2 linked regions of the Arabidopsis thaliana genome follow. The protein of the gene in region 2 interacts with the protein of the main gene of each other region in a pairwise test. Each region holds a gene or a part of one and is shown on either strand. Other genes may lie near its edges. The genes, in order: nPAP and AT5G65260.

Evidence for each region.
Region 1: the proteins of AT5G65260 (region 2) and nPAP interact in a two-hybrid assay, tested with the Arabidopsis thaliana proteins (one study listed by BioGRID).

The regions. Positions count from the first base shown.
Region 1 is NC_003075.7:15,847,633-15,855,040, forward strand, and holds nPAP (nuclear poly(a) polymerase), read left to right. Parts: upstream 1-2,139; 5' UTR 2,140-2,501; coding exon 2,502-2,636; intron 2,637-2,733; coding exon 2,734-2,811; intron 2,812-3,137; coding exon 3,138-3,245; intron 3,246-3,417; coding exon 3,418-3,480; intron 3,481-3,548; coding exon 3,549-3,710; intron 3,711-4,046; coding exon 4,047-4,160; intron 4,161-4,241; coding exon 4,242-4,304; intron 4,305-4,385; coding exon 4,386-4,715; intron 4,716-4,793; coding exon 4,794-4,958; intron 4,959-5,095; coding exon 5,096-5,929; intron 5,930-6,037; coding exon 6,038-6,121; coding exon of another isoform or gene 6,122-6,178; exon of another isoform or gene 6,179-6,259; coding exon of another isoform or gene 6,260-6,274; exon of another isoform or gene 6,275-6,532; coding exon 6,533-6,613; coding exon of another isoform or gene 6,614-6,634; exon of another isoform or gene 6,635-6,685; coding exon of another isoform or gene 6,686-6,719; exon of another isoform or gene 6,720-6,730; coding exon 6,731-6,811; 3' UTR 6,812-6,828; downstream 6,829-7,408. Other genes in the region: PFK6 (phosphofructokinase 6), read right to left, coding at 1-27, 569-673. UniProt on the Arabidopsis thaliana protein: Essential protein. Polymerase that creates the 3'-poly(A) tail of mRNA's. Also required for the endoribonucleolytic cleavage reaction at some polyadenylation sites.
Region 2 is NC_003076.8:26,079,580-26,084,850, forward strand, and holds AT5G65260 (RNA-binding (RRM/RBD/RNP motifs) family protein), read right to left. Parts: upstream 3,488-5,271; 5' UTR 3,406-3,487; coding exon 3,283-3,405; intron 3,164-3,282; coding exon 3,064-3,163; intron 2,855-3,063; coding exon 2,784-2,854; intron 1,479-2,783; coding exon 1,287-1,478; intron 1,190-1,286; coding exon 1,062-1,189; intron 971-1,061; coding exon 922-970; 3' UTR 643-921; downstream 1-642. Other genes in the region: AT5G65250 (uncharacterized protein), read right to left, coding at 1-472; RABA4a (RAB GTPase homolog A4A), read left to right, coding at 3,858-4,090, 4,524-4,971. UniProt on the Arabidopsis thaliana protein: Involved in the 3'-end formation of mRNA precursors (pre-mRNA) by the addition of a poly(A) tail of 200-250 nt to the upstream cleavage product.

The sequences.
Region 1 (7,408 bases), on a different chromosome or scaffold from region 2:
ATTTGATTGCAACGGGTTTGGATAAGTCTGTTAGAGAAGGTATCAGCAAAAGTGAATAAAGTATAAAATGAAACGAAGCTATAGCATGATTTGAAATATGAACCAAAAAGCTTTTTTTTTTCTCCATGGCAAGACTAATTTACAATCCAATTCTTCCATTACTCTACATGTATAAGAACCTCATTACATTAGCATCAAATTTAGAAAATAGTAAGTGATTAATAGATCTAATCAAACATTCGGTGACGAGTAAGCATATGTGCACCAATCAATTTCCACGTTGACATTGATTTAACATTTCACATTTGTATGCACTAATACGAATATAAATATTTATGTAATTCTCTCCCTGATAGAGACCAGGATCTCATCAACAGTCCGAATCAACATATAGGCTAAAAATAGGCGAAACCAATTATACAAACACAACTTTTGCATTTGCTATACACGAACCACCAAATCGGCAACAATATCAAATTCGTAAATCGTATAACCACCGATCCATGAAAATGTCGATTTCAAAGAATAATCGATGGAATCGTATAGAGATAGAGAGAGGAAGTAGTACGGGGAGATCGAGAATGTAATCGCTCAAATGAGGAACATCTTCGAGTACATAACCAGCAGGTCCTTCCACCAACTTAATCTGCTCGTCCACGCCATTAGAAGCCATCGAAGAAAACCTTATTCTTCTGAGTGTTTTTCTCTCCGGTGACGTAAAGCGACTGTGAATTTGAAGCGTATGTATGTATGTGAGTTTTAATTCTCAGAGCTCAGAGTGGTATAGAAGTAAGGAACGAGAAAGCGACGTCGTTTTGGCTCACCGTTACTTTATGATATACGGACATTACCGAAATACCAGCGTAAACGGCGGCTGGTTTTTCCTTTTGTCAATTTCCGGTTTTCAGATAATTGATTCGTGGATAAATGCAGAAGTATGGATAAAATCTCATTAATTATCTTTATTATACCTTTAAAGAAAATGACAAAAATTAAACGATAAGAATATCTTAATATTTACGAAATATATTCTTAGTAATTTCTCTATTTGGTGTCAAAAATATATAGGCAATTTTTCTATTCTTTAATTTCTTAAGATTTTTTTTTTTTAAAATCATTTTTTCTTAGTATATGGTATTGTTCATGACAAAGAGAGAAATATCATATCCTGTTGAGAAATAGCATTTATAAAAACTGATTTGTTTTGTAAAAATAATAATGTCAAGCTAATGTATAGATCGAATAGTTATTTTAGCTTAAAAATCAAATTTCTGAGAGGAGAAAATTTATCTTACAAATCTTTATAACGCTTAAGTATAAAAAAAAGATCTTAATACACAATTGTCCGAAAAAATCATTTTTAAACTATCAAATTATCGGTTTAAACTTTTTATTTGATTAACAAATCAATCTAAACTTTACAAATCTTCATGAATCAATTTAGGATTTAAATATCAAACAAGTGGATTCTAAAATAATAAAGTTTCCTCTCCAATTAGGAGTATAATGAATTACATATTTGGAAAGAAAAGATTCGAGTATTAATAAATTTTAGATGAATTTGATAAGTTTTAGACAGTTAGGAAAGTTGTTACTATTTGTTATTAAAAATATTTGCAATCTCCCTCACTAAAAAAAAATAATATTTGCAATCTCACAAAACCATGAGAATTGGGTCTTTGTAATTTTTAATCAAGGAAATCCATTATTACATCACTAATTGAAATTCATGTTTGTATATACAGCCTAAACTTTTGTATATACAGCCTAAACTTTTGTATCTTTTATTTAAAAACACTTTAATATGTTAAAATCCAATATAGTATCAAAATTATATCAAAATCTAATAAACAACACACCAGTTTTCAACTTTATCAATTAAAATTAACAGATGGTGATTTTAAATCAGTTGGTTTCCATCGACACATGATTTCTAGTTACCAATAATCCCACTAACCCCATTAAAATCTTTAAATTAAAAATCTGAACAAAATTATCTAATTTAGATTTGTTTTCAAAATGATTACAATGTTTTCTTGTTTTGAACGGAGACTTATCGGCTCCCTCCGTAAAATAATCATACACATTAATCCACTAATCAAAATTTAATTATAAAATCGAATCGCCGTGTACCTAATATCTTCCCCAACCTTTGCTCTCTCTCTCTCTCCATCTCCCTCATACCTCCTTCTTCTTCTTGATCCATCATCTCTCTCTCTTTCTCTCTTCTCTCTGTTCCTAGTCCATCGATTTAACCTCTTTCAGATTCTCCTTCTTCTTTGACTTTTTTTGACACCGTAGTCTCTTTCCCCTTCCATCGATTTAGGGTTTCCGATTTTCAAAATCTCCTTTTTATTTGTTTCCTCTCCTTGTGCAATTCCCGTCTCGAATCCATCTTGACCTGGGGGTCTGATCCGATCTCCCTCTAATCATATCGTGAAGCGAGATTATGTTTTTGTGCTGCGCTTCTGCTTTGATCGCTTAGGATTATCAATCGTGTTATGATGGTGGGTACTCAAAATTTAGGTGGTTCGTTGCCGCCGCTGAATTCTCCTAAAAGCTATGGAATTACGAAGCCGCTCTCTCTTGCTGGGCCTTCTTCGGCGGATATTAAGCGTAATGTGGAGCTGGAGAAGGTAAAGCTTTGTTTTTTTGTTTATACAAAAATTGTTCCACTGTTTAAAGGATTCGTTGATTTGGCTTATCTGATGTGTATTTTCTTATATGCTCAAGTACTTGGTTGATGAGGGACTCTACGAGAGCAAGGATGATACCATGCGGCGAGAGGAAGTTCTAGGACGCATCGATCAGGTGACTCAGCGTGTCTCGTTGATTGTTTGTTCTGTATATTTACAAGTGTTATCTTTTGATGGTTGTGCTAATTGGGTGTCTGAATCGACAAGAATAAAATTATTGTGTTTATAATGGTCTTTTAGGTTTCATTGTATTGGTTCTTACTCGTGTATGGTTGTTGATTTTGGGCTAAGCATAGATCATAGTTCAATATGAAATAGACTGGTCAGGCATATGTTCTTATGTCCATTGATTTACTTTGCTGTTTTTAAGTTTCTTCACATGCTGTTCATTGTGCTATTTGTCTGAAACTATCAATCTTATCTCCCACCTTTTTTTTTTAGATTGTAAAGCACTGGGTGAAACAGTTAACGCAGCAAAGAGGATATACTGATCAGATGGTGGAAGATGCAAATGCTGTCATTTTCACCTTTGGATCCTACCGACTTGGCGTAAGTGCTACTTGTTTACCGCTTCCTTGCTTTTATCTTGAAGCTAAAATGCGTATAATATGTTTTTTGCTATATGTTTGTGGATTACTCGAGAGATCGCTCTGTTTTTGTCTATGCAAATGCAATCTTAGTCTCTGAGGCTGAACCGACTTCAATTTTGTTCACTTTGCAGGTGCATGGTCCTGGGGCTGACATTGATACTTTGTGTGTTGGGCCATCTTATGTTAACCGGGAGGTGACTCTTGCTACCACTTATTGATGCAGAAGTTTGATTCTTTAGTTCTTAACACTTACTCTTTACAGGAGGATTTCTTCATCATCTTGCATGATATATTGGCTGAGATGGAAGAAGTGACTGAGCTCCATCCTGTTCCCGATGCCCATGTTCCGGTCATGAAATTTAAGTTTCAAGGAATACCGATTGATCTGCTCTATGCTAGCATATCACTTTTAGTTGTGCCACAGGTAATTTTCTGTGAATTTATTGTATCTTTCTTTGTTTTTGCTGAAGCTGTAGGGTCTGATAAATTTATATTAGCTTGTATATATTATGCTATATGTTGTGCTTGTTTGCATGTTGATGGAGACAGATAGTGTATTACTCATCCTCAATGGCTTATATAGTAAACAAATTTATTTTAGTAGTTTCTGGCTTGAGAGAGAGATCTGAAAAGTTTGCTGGCTATTTTGGTGCATCGGTTTTGATTTTTATATGAAAACTGAGCCCGTGAGCTGTCATGGTAGATTACAATCTCTTGCTGAATCAAATTTCTTGTTTTCATGGATTTGGTTTATCGACAGGATCTGGATATCTCCAGCTCTTCTGTGCTGTGTGAAGTTGATGAGCCAACCGTTCGAAGTCTTAATGGTTGTAGAGTTGCTGATCAGATTCTTAAACTCGTTCCAAATTTTGAGGTAAACTCACAGAATGCCAGTCATTATGTTAACATATGAATGAACTATGGTTACCTTCTCTTATCTTATGTGCAATTGTAGCACTTCCGGACAACCTTAAGATGCCTGAAGTACTGGGCTAAGAAGCGTGGGGTGTATTCAAATGTAAGATCATAGCTTTCTGAAATTCGTATTTATTGAAAACTTTCATGTCTAAGCTCTTGTCATATTTCTCATATTGGGCAGGTGACTGGATTTCTTGGCGGTGTAAACTGGGCACTTTTGGTTGCTCGTGTCTGCCAGCTTTATCCAAATGCAATTCCTAGTATGCTGGTTTCTCGTTTTTTTAGAGTATATACTCAATGGCGGTGGCCGAACCCAGTCATGCTTTGTGCAATAGAAGAGGATGAGCTTGGATTTCCTGTCTGGGACCGTCGTAAGAATCATCGCGACCGCTATCACCTTATGCCAATAATAACTCCAGCTTACCCATGCATGAATTCTAGTTACAATGTCTCTCAAAGCACTCTTCGCGTTATGACAGAGCAGTTCCAGTTTGGTAACAATATCTTGCAGGTAAGTGAGCAAAACTTTTGACTTGTTATCTCAACTATTTATTCAGGATCCTATACTTATGCATGATTTTTAATGCAGGAGATTGAATTAAATAAACAGCACTGGAGCTCTTTATTTGAACAATATATGTTTTTCGAGGCATACAAAAACTACCTTCAGGTTGATATAGTGGCAGCAGATGCAGAAGATTTATTGGCTTGGAAGGGTTGGGTGGAGTCGCGGTTCAGACAGCTGACCTTAAAGGTTGATAGCCTCCTCTTTTCATTTGATTTACAGTAATAAACCTGCTGTATATCAGTGTTTAATCATATTTGTTGTGGTAGAAAATATAAAATTATTAAATGTTTCTCGATTTTGTTTCTTTTCATTCAATAATGCAGATAGAAAGAGACACTAATGGGATGTTAATGTGCCATCCCCAACCAAATGAGTATGTAGACACGGCTAGGCAGTTTCTGCATTGTGCCTTTTTCATGGGCTTGCAGAGGGCAGAGGGAGTTGGGGGTCAAGAATGTCAACAGTTTGATATACGTGGTACTGTCGATGAGTTCAGACAAGAAGTAAACATGTATATGTTTTGGAAACCTGGGATGGATGTTTTCGTTTCTCATGTTCGTAGACGACAGCTTCCACCTTTTGTTTTCCCTAATGGATATCGAAGGCCTCGGCAGTCCAGGCACCAAAATCTACCGGGTGGAAAATCTGGTGAAGATGGCAGTGTTTCTCATTCCGGCTCTGTGGTGGAGAGGCATGCCAAGCGAAAGAACGATAGTGAAATGATGGATGTGAGGCCAGAGAAACCTGAGAAGCGTGCATCTCTTAGTCCACAGAGTCTAGATATAGTTTCTCCTGAAAATAGTGCTATCACAACTGGTTGGACTCCTCCTGTTTGCAACCTTAGAAGGCCACCAAGCGAGGAAATAGAAGCTGATAATTTGAACACTGAGTGTACTGAACTCACAGACTTAGCTCGAAATGAGTGTAACTCTGGCAGCGAGCAAGTTCTTGAAGTAGATAGTATGGCTGTAGTTCAAGAATGCTCTGATCCTGCTGAGCCTTTGGGAAAGTGTGTAACACCTGACTCTGTTGATGTGGTAGCATGTGTAAGTGGGCAGGAAGAAAACTTAGATCGTAATTTGAGGTCTGTATCCATCAGTGGTACTGACTCCCCACTTCTTCCGAGCAGATCCTGTGGGCAGAACCGTGATTATGAGGTTAGTTTTTTTTTTCTTTTTGTATATGTTTGGGGGTTCTGGTGTGTTATCAGAAATTGGCAATAATTGTTTGAACATACCGGGCATAGTAATGATGAGTTTTTACAGGGTTTCGGGTTTCCTGCTGCAAATTCAGATCCTATGGGAAAGAAAAACTTGTACTCTCAAAGCGGCATGTCGGAAGACCTTCAGGTTATTAAGCTACCTCACAGTAGTTATCATAAGATTAGTTCTGTTGAAAATATTTAATAGCTGGTTTAAAAATGAATGTCCAATGATATGCGAGCATCAATTCTCCACACTACATGGAATCTCATACTGGTTTCATAGTGTCAAGAAACATAGGATGGAGCTAAGTTTGAAATTTGATGGTTGTCCATAAACAGTACTACTTAAGAGGTCAATGTTTCTGCTGTGTTATAACTTGCCTTGTGTGATTTCTGCTGCATACCGCCTAACTAGTGCATATATATGATTGGCAGGTCCTGCACTGCAAAGCAACTCCGCTTGAAACTTATTGAATTAGACTTTTCTCTCTTTGATTAAGTTTTGTAAGGAATAAAACTAACTTATGTTGTTGCTCGTAATCTTGTCTTGTCTTAGTCAAACTCTTTGGTGAGCGGGATGGAGAAGTCGGAAGACAGAGCTAGGTCAGAATCTTTCCAGAAGTCACAGATAAGGCATGTGTGTTATGCAAAGTCATGATTTCTTTATGTTATTCTTGTTGTGTATTTGGTTTCATTGGTGCTTTTATAGCACAAGCAGGTTAAGCTTAAAGTCCACTGTGTGAACGTCCTCTAGGCTATTGACGTGAAGAAAACGGGGGATTTCAACTCAAATTGTTGCGTTGGACAGACGACAGAGTCCAGAAGCTTTTGGTAAGTGAATTTTTAATATGGAAAAAAGAAAAAAGAAAAAAAAAAGTTAAAAAATGACATTTGAAAAATTCAAAAAAAAAAAAAAGAATTAAGTTAAAAAAAAAAAGGTAACCAAAAGAGAAAAGAAGGTATAGGCAGAGAAAGCATTGGTGGTGGTATTTTGAGTGAGCTTGGATGATGACCAAAGCTCAATATGCGTCATCAGGATCATAACTTGAAGATTGAAATGATTTATATAATGTCTGGATGATGAATGCTTTTTTTTTTTTATTATTCGGCTGTTTCAGACTCTGGTCCTCTTAGGGCTTTGACTTGAATCGTTTGTGTTTTTTTAATTTTATTTTGCGGTTTATGTATATAAGATCTATGCCTCCTTGTCTCTCGTTTTTGGAGTTATGCTGTCAAAACTAAGTGAGAGTAGTTGCAATGAAAGGCTTTAAAATAAAGGTTTCTGATCTATATCAAAGTCAAAACACTGTTTCTTTTTTTCTTATGATGTAATATGATGGAAAATCTATAGAGGAATTGGAATAATTGGTGGTTGAACCGGGAAAGACAGATTCTCAAATTTAAATGTGTCGGATCTGCTAGTTCCAAATAC
Region 2 (5,271 bases):
TGCAAATCCTCATCCATTGTCGTCGTCTAAGCCAAGAACCAGTGGCGACTGAGCCAACCAATCCAACGAAACCTAAAGACAAAACCTTTTTCCCAATTTCACCAACCACCACGTAATTCACCGCGAGAACCACTGAAATCACGGCGGATGATAAAATACAAAGCGCTTCCGCGAAAGAAACAAAGCTGCCCAAATCGAAACCATCGGAACTGGCGTCTTCTAGTAAGTTAGAAGAAGAGCTATCCTCGAATGATCCGATAGAAGACGCATGAGCTCTATAATTTCGATCGATCTCGAAATTCGACTGGGTAGAGATGACGTGGCGGAGGAAGATAGGCTGGGGGAATGATATAGAATCCCGGCGAGAAGCTCGTGCGGCGGAGACGGCGAAGCAGAGGTTGCTCCTCCTGCTGATGCGAACAGGAGTCGAGCCGGAGAAGAGAGCGTATCGAGAAGGAAGCGATAAGGACATTATCGTCTTTTCGGGTCTGTGACAAGTGACTGGTTAAATCTCAGGTCATTGCAAGAAATGGCTACGACCTTGACGTCCATCATCAGAAGAGAACCTCTTACAGGCGCATGGTAGCAAAGCCTCGACAATAAAAGTTTAAAATGCGCGGAACATCTTTGGAGTTGATTTGCTAAGCGAATAAAAAGAGTCAACACTTTCATTTAACAGATTTCAGCTATAACCCAATAGTCCCAATTATATAAGCAACACTTGATCCAATCATTATATGCATCATATCAAAACGATATGAAACTTATAATACCAGTCTAGGTTCGAAAATGTTTACGCGCAAAGTTCTAAAAGGCGAAAGAGCCAAAGTCATAAAGAAAGCTCAATGAAGGATGGGTATAGCCAATACACGCATCCACACTGGTAGCGAATCCCTTCTATGCTTAACCATGATGACGGTTTTATTGGTACGGCATGTAACGCATAGGCCTTCTAAACCTAGGAGCTTTTCTGCAAAAAAAAAACACCAAAAAGTGTGAGAAGTGGATAAAGCTGTGTGACCACAATCAACATATATGTCTTGATGTTAAAACCAACTTACCCGTATCCATATGGGGAATACATATAAGGAGACATGAAAGGTCTGCGGAACCGGTAACCCATGTATGGATTGAATCGTCTACCACGGAACTGTTTCAATCCAGGAACGTTTGTTCTCTTCTGCAAGACCTGAAATTATTTTAAGCCAGATGAGAAAACGATGGAATCATAAGGGGTTTTTTCATGGTAAAAAGTGTTTTGTTTGATGGTATAGTAAGATGTGTACCTTTAATTGACGACCATGTAGCTCTGATTCATTCAGTTGTAGAGCCTCTTGAACAGCTTCCACTTCGACGAATTCTACATATGCAAATCCCTTTGGCTGCCCGAATTTGTCTGTCAGAATGGTCACCCGATGGACAGTGCCGCATGTTTGGAAATGCTGCTGAACTTCTTCAGGTGTGCAAGCGTAATCAACCTGCACAGTCAAATATGCAGTTATAGTATATAACAAACTAGCATAAACCCATGGAGTCCTTCACCGAGCACACAAAGAGTAATCCATCAAATTAATTAGTTCAGCTAAACAAGAAAACGTAGCAAAGACATTCCTCTTTTACTATCCTTCATTACACACACACCAACATAAATATATGTGCAAGGTAAAGCAGAACAATAGGAAAGCAAAGTGGAATTTAGTATACTTGAGCAGCCTTTGAGTTGAAAAGATCCCTTACGCTGTGTACCGAGCATAAACTTTATGCCAAGCTTAATTTTATGTTACCATCAAACAGCTGCTTCTCACCAACGCAGCTAATGAGCCTTGACTACAAAGCATCCAGCATCTTGATGCAGCACTTCAAACGCTATCTCCTCGAGGATGGATTGAGAAATACTCCACTCAAACATTGTCCCCTCTCCAGATATCTCTTTTTCCCTCATAATCATAACATTTTTCCTTCTCTATATTGCTCTAAAGCGTATTCATTTCCTTTTCTTTATTCTTTTTTCATAGCTTTATTCAATGCTTTTTTGCCTCTTTTTTTTAGCTTTTTTCATCATGTTCCACAACAAAACAGAACAGATCTTTTTCAACTCCATAAAAGGAAAATGTAAAGACCCCACAAAACCTAATTGATATAACCCAGAGCAATTAAGAACTTCAGGAACAAAATCCTGCGATTGTAGTGAGAAAAATCATAAGAAAAGTAAAACTCAACGCCAGAAAACAAAAACTATAGCATCCTCAAATTTGCACAGAAAAGTTACTAAACATATGAAATTTTCAATTATATCTGAAGGCTAAGGTTCCACCAGTAATATGAAGACTCAATCTACTTTCCAAAACCCTCAATATCACTAACAACAGAAACCCCTCACTAGTTTTCATTTGAAGATAAAGTCTTCACGCTAAGCACCAACTTTTTACCATTCAACAATTTCATCTAATAAGAGTTCTCACTGAATAGACAAGAATCCATAGCAACAAAGATGTGACATTACACCAAAAGTCAGAGTAAACTAGTGATATATTCAAGCACTAAATGTAGAGAATGCAATCATGGATCAGGAAGAGAACATAATCAGATAATAGATTTCTACGATAATAATTCTAACACCCTAGATAAAAGGTTTTGTATCAAGAGAGCTAAAAAAGGCACAATTCATAGTCTAATCCAATGAACATTAAGATCAATACGAGTTAAAAACTATGAAAATAAAGCAGAAGCTAGCTAAGATGGCTTAAAGAAAGAAAACGACGCAGAAACATAAATATTCTTACATTGCCAACAAAAACTGATCGAGCATCAACCTCCTCCTTGCCTGCTTGATTCGCTGCAATACTAGCAGGATCTGGAATAACAAAATTGAACCAAAAACTTTAGTCAAGAAGCAAAAAAAAACTCCATATACATAACATAATTCACAGTGGAATTCTAAGATGGATTCAAACACCACCAAGTAGCTACCAATTATCAAAAACCTAGCGAATTGCGGGAAGCACGATGATAATCATATCAAAGAAGCGAGTTATAGCAAAACCAAATCAAAGAGACGAAAACCTTGAGCTCCCATTTCCTTCTCGACCTTAGCCTGCATCTCACGCAGAGCAGCAGCTTCGTCCTCCATCTCTTTCAATCGTTTCTTCATTTCATCCAACTCCTAGAATTACAACAGCAATAACACAACAATCAAACACATATACACGCGATAACAAATCAATCGAGCTCAGTCACATAAAGATGAGCAAAACAGTAAGAGAGAAAGAGATAATAGTAGACCTTAACCGCATCATCATCAGCAGCAGCCATATCCAAATCGGGGTTGAGAGCCTCCATATCTCCATCCATCTCTCCGACGTCTGGAATTTCACCACCGTAAACCTCGTGCTCCTCTTCCTCCATCGTCTCTCTCGCTCTCTCTCCGTCGCGACGTTTGCTTTGTTTTCTTCTGAAAACGCTTAGGTCACTTTTTGTCAATTCGGATAGCGACACGTAATCAACCAAATAACGGCCCTTTATTATAACTTAATGGGCCTAATAAGGCCCAATTTTAAAAGACTTTTTAACATTCGAAATTACCCTATTTGATGACATCATCACCCAAAAACATGCGCCTGACAGAAAGATAATTGTCGAATCCGTCAAATCTCACCGAGCCGGCAGAATCCAACGGTTAATATTTAGACACGTCATCATTAATTAAAAATATTGACTAATAGTTGACAACGACGACAATACGACCGTATCAGATCTCTCTCTGCGTTTAAAACTTCAAAAAAGCTCACTTTTCGGTAAAAGCTTAAAACAGAGGATTTAGCAAGAGAGGATTTAGCGAGAGAGAGACGTTGAAGAAGATGACTAGTGGAGGAGGATACGGAGATCCGTCGCAGAAGATTGATTATGTGTTCAAAGTGGTGTTGATCGGCGATTCCGCGGTTGGGAAATCACAGATACTGGCTCGTTATGCTAGAGACGAATTCAGTTTGGATTCTAAGGCCACCATCGGCGTTGAGTTTCAGACTCGGACGCTTGTTATCGATCACAAGAGTGTTAAGGCTCAGATCTGGGATACCGCCGGCCAAGAACGGTAATCTCCGACCTCTCCCGGAACTTTTAGCTACTTCAATTGCTTGAACTTAGATCTCGTAAGATTTTACTGTTTCTCTAGATCTGGAAGATGATAGGTCTGCTTAGGATTTCGAATTCTAGTAAAGCTTACTGATCTGTATACGAAATTGGGAGGATCTGAAGTAAAATGGTAGAATCATTGAGAATTTGGGATTGGGATTTCAAAATTATGTATAGACTAGAATTATGTATATTACTATTCCAATGTTATTAAGCTTCTATAATTTTATGATTGGTACAAATTTGGACACTTTTGTTATACATTTCCCAGTGATGCTTCATCAACTTTATACATTCACTGATCTTTAATGAGTAAGCTAACCACCACATTTCATGCTTATCATATGCTTACATTGTATATCTTTCTATATGTGTGGTATTGGTTGAAACAGATACAGAGCAGTAACAAGTGCATATTACCGAGGAGCGGTTGGGGCGATGTTGGTGTATGACATAACCAGACGCCAAACCTTTGACCATATCCCAAGATGGTTAGAAGAACTACGTGCTCATGCAGATAAGAACATTGTGATAATCCTTATTGGGAACAAGTCAGATCTTGTGGATCAACGAGCTATACCGACAGAAGATGCGAAAGAATTTGCGGAGAAAGAAGGTTTGTTCTTCTTGGAGACATCTGCATTTAACGCAACCAATGTTGAGAGCGCTTTCTCCACGGTTTTGACTGAGATCTTCAACATTGTGAACAAGAAAAGTCTGGCTGCGAGTGAAGATCAAGAGAATGGTAATCCCGGGTCGCTTGCTGGTAAGAAGATTGATATTGTTCCAGGTCCTGGTCAAGTGATACCAAACAAGAGTAACATGTGTTGTAACTCTTAGATAAACCAATTCAATTCTTGAATGTTACTTGATAACAACAATATATAGATGTTTTAAAGACTCTGATTGGGATATTTCTCCTATCTAGAGCTGTGTGATTCATTTGTTGCTTAATGAGCAGTTTTTGTGGGGTTTTGGGGTGTTGAATCCAAGTATAACAAACCGATCTTAATTTGATCTTAAAAATTGGATATTAATTTGATCAACATGTTTTTATTCTCTCTACATTTGTAAGATTATTGTTACATTTTTGTTAATTACAAATATATACCAGCAATAACAACTTTTCTATTTCTCTTG